Sus scrofa: one gene and its partner. The protein of the gene in region 1 binds, or shares a complex with, the protein of each later gene. Links are inferred from orthologs where the notes say so. Each region holds a gene or a part of one and is shown on either strand. Other genes may lie near its edges.

What was found.
Region 2: the proteins of SMAD7 (region 1) and SMURF2 are in contact, whole or in part, in an NMR structure (PDB 2LTZ), measured with the Homo sapiens proteins. The link is inferred for Sus scrofa from reciprocal best matches to the Homo sapiens genes SMAD7 and SMURF2. Residues at the interface, in NP_005895.1 of Homo sapiens: Glu203, Leu204, Glu205, Ser206, Pro207, Pro208, Pro209, Tyr211, Ser212, Arg213, Tyr214, Pro215, Met216, Asp217; in NP_073576.1 of Homo sapiens: Glu304, Arg306, Asn307, Thr308, Ala309, Thr310, Arg312, Tyr314, Val316, Asp317, His318, Arg321, Thr322, Thr323, Gln324, Phe325, Thr326.

Annotation. Positions count from the first base shown.
Region 1 is NC_010443.5:98,512,188-98,515,512, forward strand, and holds the end of SMAD7 (mothers against decapentaplegic homolog 7), read right to left. Parts: intron 2,634-3,325; coding exon 2,095-2,633; 3' UTR 613-2,094; downstream 1-612. UniProt on the Homo sapiens protein: Antagonist of signaling by TGF-beta (transforming growth factor) type 1 receptor superfamily members; has been shown to inhibit TGF-beta (Transforming growth factor) and activin signaling by associating with their receptors thus preventing SMAD2 access.
Region 2 is NC_010454.4:14,480,118-14,483,934, reverse strand, and holds part of SMURF2 (E3 ubiquitin-protein ligase SMURF2), read right to left. Parts: intron 782-3,817; coding exon 661-781; intron 1-660. UniProt on the Homo sapiens protein: E3 ubiquitin-protein ligase which accepts ubiquitin from an E2 ubiquitin-conjugating enzyme in the form of a thioester and then directly transfers the ubiquitin to targeted substrates.

The DNA of each region.
Region 1 (3,325 bases):
TCTTCCCCTTGCCCATCATTCAAAATGAAACTCTCTTTACTAAGCTCTTCAAGATTTTTTTTCTTTTTTTTTTTTCAAGGCTGCACCTGCAGCATATGGAAGTTCCCAGGCAAGGGATCAAATCAGAGCTGCAGCCACCGGCCTACACCAGTCACAGCAGTGCCACGTCAGAGCCACATCTGTAACCTATGCCACAGCTTGCAGCAACACCAGATCCTTAACCCACGGAGGCCAGGGATGGAACCCACATCCTCATGGATATTATAGTTGGGTTCTTACCCTGCTGAGGTACATCAGGAACTCAACTTTTCAAGCTTTGAAAAAAGTCACCTGCTTTTGTAACTCAGGGCTCCCTGAGGTTGACAAATTCAGGACACCCACCAACTACACTCTAGGGTTACTGCCTTATAAGAAAGGTGCTATCTGTGCAGGTATGGCTCTTTCTAGCATTCAGAGAAGACCAAGTTCTTTTGGATGTTTCTCCCTTCTGTGGTCCCCCCCTTTCCTCCCAACCAAGCACGAGGAGACACCAACTGTCCTGGATTCTGCACCTCCCCACTCCCCTCCTACCAGGAAAAAAAAGGAGCTGGAAGACAACAAGGGAATCAAGTATACATTTTAAAAATTGTTTAATGGAACATAAACTCCTTTAGAAAAACATTCAGCCAGGTGATAACACCCATAGAAAAAAACACCAATCTTGTGTTTATCTTTTTTTAATTTGGCATTTGTTATTTGCATTTATATTAAAGCAAAGTGCATCTTTTCTTTATTTTTGTTTATACACATTGCACAATACATAAATAATGATGCTTATAAAACGTCTTCATATTTACAAGTAATAATATATTTATATATAACATAAAATACATTTTTTCTTTAATAAATCTCAGGTTTTTTTCAGGAGTCCTTTCTCTCTCAAAGCACTACAATGCTAAATTTCCAATGAGAATGCTTCTCTTGTTCATTTAAACCTTTGTAGTTAGAAAAATAGCTTATGTTAAAGTCTAAACATGCTCATTGAGCTAAGAGCAGTGTCAACGTATCATCCGAGTGTATGAGTTGTAGAAGAAATGAGAAGAGTTAGGGGTGTCAGCTCAGGATGGTACCTTGGGTTACAATGGACCGAATCCTTCTTGGTGGGAAGGGGGAGCGGGGGGCAGGGGGGTGCTGCTCCCCTCACTGGTCTAACAGCAGAGCTCAGCACACAGGCTGCGGAGGGAAGGAAAATGCTGAGCTGGTTTTCTGAATCCAGGAAAAACCTGATGTAACCAGGGACGGGGAGAGGCTGAGGGGCCTGAGAGGGCACTGGGTGAGCAATACTGTAATGGGGCTGCCCCGGCAGCCCTCAGGAAGTCCATCTCAGAGACAATCCAGGAGCAGGTGGCCAAAAGAGAAAGGACGATGGCAGGGAGGTGGCTGGAGGGGGCGGGGGCGAGTGAGACAGCATGGGAAATAGGTTCTGGTTCGGCTTCTTGTAGAGCTGCTTCGAAGAAGCCTGCGGACAGGCCAATGTCCTAGGAAGGGGTGGCGAGGGGCAGGGGGGCTTCCACAGGCTGGGGACACAACCTTGCTGCTGGCAGCTGCTGGGAGACCTGCTGCCCCACTGCGCAGGTGCAAGGGGCTAGAGACACAGCTTGGGAGCATTCGTAGTTAACAACACAGAGCACACCGCCTCCCCCATCTACACTCACACACGCGCACACACTCACTCACACATAAGCCCTACTAAGGGCTACGATGACCCCAAGGTTGGGGCCTGCTCCCCATTTACACTGTGTTTGGTGGCACTGATTTTTGCTTCCCCTTTTCAGATCTGGGTGTTCTGCCAACCTTACCACTGCCCACCCCTGCCCCCGCCCCAACCCGCCCCGAAGAGGAAAAAAAAAAAAAAAAAAAACCAACAATTCTTTTCATAAGCTATTTCTCAAAGAACAAAACAAAACATAACATAAACAAGAACGACGAGAGGAAGGAAAAAAAAAATGACCAAAGAGTTTGCATGAAAAGCAAGCACTCAGGAGGAAAATCTTAGCAGCAAAGTAGTTTGGACTGGGCCCGCTCGGCTCCCGCTCTGTCCTCTCCCCCACGAGGCTACCGGCTGTTGAAGATGACCTCCAGCCAGCATGGGCAGCTGCTGATGAACTGCCGGGTGTAGCACTGGCCCCAGCCCTTCACGAAGCTGATCTGCACGGTGAACCCAGTCCACGGCTGCTGCATGAACTCGTGGTCGTTGGGCCGCTGCAGGCTGTACGCTTTCTCATAGTCAAAAGCCTTGATGGAGAAACCGGGGAACACTTTGTGTACCAACAGCGTCCTGGAGTCCGGGTTGTCCAGTGTGGCTGACTTGATGAAGATGGGGTAACTGCTGCGGTTGTACACCCACACGCCATCCACTTCCCGCGTGAGCTGGATGCCACAGCCGATCTTGCTCCGCACTTTCTGCACCAGCTGACTCTTGTTGTCCGAATTGAGCTGTCCAAGGCAAAAGCCATTCCCCTGAGGTAGATCATAAAAGATATCCAGGGAGGGCTCCTGGACACAGTAGAGCCTCCCCACTCTCGTCTTCTCCTCCCAGTATGCCACCACGCACCAGTGTGACCGATCCCCAGGCTCCAGAAGAAGTTGGGAATCTAGAAGACAAAATGGCAGACATGGTGGGTGATGATGGGGACTGGCATTTTCCTCTTCCTCCCAAACCAAGATGACGTGCACATCCGCACTCCTGGGCCGCCAGGCCCACTGTTTCTCAGTGCAAGACAGAAAGAGATGATAGGGCACTGGATGTGCCACAGGCTGTACAGTTCCCCTATGGGGGGCTTGGAGATCTTAACCCAGTGATGGAAGAGCGGGGCCTCTAAAGCATGGGGGTCCCTGATCCCTCTGCTCCCCCGCATCCTATCAGGAACCCAGGACACCAACCCTACCAGTGGAAGCCCCATCCCTGCAGAATCAGAAGCCAGGACCACTTAGTAACTTAGTTGGAGGGCTTACTTTTAGGGCTGGGAGAGGCCTTCTAGACAGGTCTAAAATTATAGTCCTTTAAACTGGATGGAACCTTGCAGGCCAGCTGCTCCAGCCCCTTGTCATCCTCATGAGAAAACCTGGCCTCAGGAAGTCTGTTGCTCAGGCCCCAGGGATGACACAGCCAGACCTTGACCCCAGGACCACCTGCTAAACAGTCTCTGTGCTTGTCACCCAGTCCTCAGATCAATGCCTTGGTCATCAGGGAGCACTGTCTGGGGGAAACTTTAATGGAGGTGGCTTGGGATAAAAATACCTATCTTCCTAATAGAAAAACAACTCAGTGTGTCTGTCCCCGGCA
Region 2 (3,817 bases), on another chromosome or scaffold:
TAAAACCTCATTGCTTCTTCAAGGCGTTCAGCAGAAATTGAGATGTATTTGTTCAAGGTCTTAATTATAAAACCAGACCTAAGGTGCTTTACAGGCTAGCTTTAAAACAAAATCAGTTAAATGTTTATTATAGCTATTATTAGTAATGAATGTTTCCAAGGAGACTAAAGATGTTTCGATAGGGTTTATCCTAAGTGTTTTAATTATTCTCTCTCCGTTTTTGTCTATCGAGTGCTTTCTTGCAAAGCTTAATGTAAATCCAATTGAACTTAGGCTTTTATTCCAAATAAATTTCAGTATGGTGGACACCAAGTAATAAAGTTTTATTTCACTAAATCAATCACCAATTAGGGAATAAAAACCAACACTGGAAGAATGTACACATAAGACACAAAATCTACTGAACATAAGAACGAGTAATATGGAAAAATAAATTAAGAGTAGTCACAACATAAGAGAGATTGCTTAGTATAGAAATTCCAAACATAAAAGGCTTTTCCAAAGGAGGAAAGACTTTTCCTGTGAATTAGAATTCTCACAGAATTGCATCACAAAACTTCAAAAGCACCAGAAAGACAACTTTCCTCTAAAAGTAAGTAATACCAAAGTCCCGACCTTCCTTTGTTACACTAAATGATGCCATGATATTAATACACTGACCTCTAACTCCTTCTCATCAAATGTCTTCAGCAGATGCTGTGGAATTACTTCATTAAATCCTTTCTGCAGAGCCAGGAACTGCGCCTCAATGCCTCGTAAAAATCTCCAGTTCACATAGAGCCTGGAAACATTGGGCAGGGATTTCATATGATCAAATATATTCAGATGGGTAATTATTATCAATCTCTAGCACTGTGGCAAATTGCACTTCACAAAAATCAAGCATTAAGAACTTAGTCTAACATCTAGAAGAATCTCAGGTTACTGAGGATAGATGGATCCCGAGCCCGAGCTGTGAGGCAGTTCACCTTCAATTAAAAAGTGGTAACCTTCCCCTAACAAAAGCAGCATCAATACAGCTACTCTTCACATCAGAAAAACTCCTGTTAAACTGGAAGTTGGCCAAAGTGTAGATGGGCCTGAAGTTAAAATCTGAATGAAATTTCTTTCTCAACTTCATGCCAATGGCCAGAGAAAAAGAGCCCATTCAAGCAAAAAGGACTATTTTTCTGGTTTCAAAATATAATCGGAGAGTGCTGGGTATTTTCACATTTTGTGGGTGGTATATGGGGGAAGAGGAGGTAAAGACAATCCTTGTATCCAAAATGAGGAGAAACACTAAAAGCCAATATCAAGCACTTTTTGACTAAAACTCGTTTTTTCCTATAGGCTTTAAAGGCCCTAGAAGACGTAATTTTAGCAACAAAAAGAATACTAACATATATCTCACGTATAGCTCTACTAACGCTTTTGATTTGGATTTACAATTTTTAAGTGAATTGCTTTTTTCAAAAATCTATCTTCCCAGGAAAACCTCTCTATCCCACAAATCTCAGAACTATTCACATTCCCAGTTTGTCACTATTTCCTTTTCTAAACTTGGAGAAATAGTTCTCTACTTTAAGAAGTTACTTAATATTACATCCTTTGGAGAACCTTTTTTTTTTTTTTTTTTTGGTCTTTTTGCCATTTCTTAGGCCGCTCTCATGGCATATGGAGGTTCCCAGGTTAGGGGTCTAATCGGAGCTGTAGCCACCGCCTACGCCAGAGCCACAGCAACGCGGGATCCGAGCCGCGTCTGCAACCTACACCACAGCTCACGGCAACGCCGGATCGTTAACCCACTGAGCAAGGGCAAGGATCGAACCGCAACCTCATGGTTCCTAGTCGGGTTCGTTAACCACTGCGCCACGACGGGAACTCCAGAACCTCATTTTTATATTGTTTAAGGGGACAGAAAAACTGCACATCTATAAAAAGTTTTTCTTTGTAACTTTTTAAATTTCAAAACTATTTGGTAAAGGATAATTACTGTGTGCTATAAATATGACTGAATCCTGGAAAGTGGGATCTTGGAAGTGAGCAGTCCGTCCAAGATCTTGGAAATGACACATTACCAAATTTCAGGAAATTCCCGTTCATTCTTTTTTAAAAACTAGAGGAACTCCCGCTGTAGCTCAGGGGGTTAAGCACCTGACACTGTCTCTCTGAGGATGAGGTTCGTACCCTGGTCTTGCTCAGTGGGTTAAGGATCCAGCACTGCCACAAGCTGCAGCATAGGTTGCAGATGTGGCTAGGATCTGGAGTTGCTATGGCTGTGGCATAGGCCTTAGCTGCAGCTCCAATTCAACCCCTGGCATGAATCGGAATTTCCATTTGCTGTAGGTGCAGCTGTAAAAATAAAAAATAAAAATGAGAAATGAAAAAAAAAAGAAAAATTATACAAAAACAAAGGTGGAGACAGAGTAAAACCTTTTGAAAGCCCATTCTTTCACTTTCTTTTCCCTCTACTCCAGGCCCACCACCCTCGCCCCCTCACCCTAGGCAAACATTTTAGTTGGTACACAGCATTCCAAACACCTTCTGTGTGAGTACAAAACAATGCAGACTTTGTTCCTTCTAAGACCTGCTTTTTAAATGACAGCTTAGGCAGAATCTTTCTTTTCATATCCACACAATATTCTGTTTAATGTATGCATTTAATCATTCTCCTCCAAAAACATTTTAGCAGTTTTCAATTTTTCACAAGTAATATTAAACATCCTTATTCATGTTTCTTTAATTACTTATGTGTTTCCAGGGGCGTTCCCGTTGTGGCACAGTGGTTAACGAATCCGACTAGGAACCTGAGATTCTTCTAGATGTTTAGTCCCTGGCCTAGCTCAGTGGGTTAAGGATCTGGCGTTGCCGTGAGCTGTGGTGTAGGTCGCAGATGTGGCTCGATCCTGCGTTGCTGTGGCTGTGGTGTAGGCGGACGGCTCTAGCTCTGATTAGACCCCTAGCCTGGGAACCTCCATATGCTGTGGGCGCAGCCCTAGAAAAGGCAAAAAGACTAATAATAATAATAACAACTTATGTGTTTCCAAAGAACAGATTCCTAAAAATGGTGCTGTTAGTTAAAAGGCATATGTGTTTTCATTTTGCTAAGTGGTATCAAATTGTTTTCCCAAAAAGCTGTACCAATTAGTCACAGTCCATGAGACTGACGGGCCTCATATGTAAACTAGAAAATTTTAGCCAATAAGACTTGGGGACATATTCTGTACAAAAAAGTATAACATGCATGTTTCTGGTACATACGGCAAGTTCTACCTCTTAAAGCTGATCATCATAGTTTAATATTTAGAAGAACTTTAGATACCATGAACCAAATGATCTAACTAAACACTTCTAAACTCTCCCATCAACAGGTGATTTTGTAAAACCAAGAACATTTTCTGGCCTTTTTAAGAAATACATATAAACATATATTTCTTATGTAAACTCACAATATGCTTATGTATAAATAGGCCAAGTGCTAGTAATGAGTCTTTGGTATTCGTGCCTCTGGGCAGTCCCTCCTCCACACCAAACCTGGGCTGGCCTGTGACTGCCTTTAACCAAGAGAATACAGCGGAGTTCCAGGCTTGGGCCTTAAAAAGATCTGACAACTTCTGCTTTTGTTCTCTGAGAAACCAGCCACCCCATCAGAAGTCTGGCTATGTTTCCAGAGAAAGAGGCCAGGAGAGCGTGAGAGGCCTCTGACAGCACCCGGGGATAACCAAGGAAGCCAGCCAACGGTGAGAAGGAAGCCGCAGATGGTGACGAAGGGTCCATCCTGTCCAGCCCCCAGCCGTCCAGGTGAGGCATCAGTTATGTGAGGGGAGAGGCATTCTTA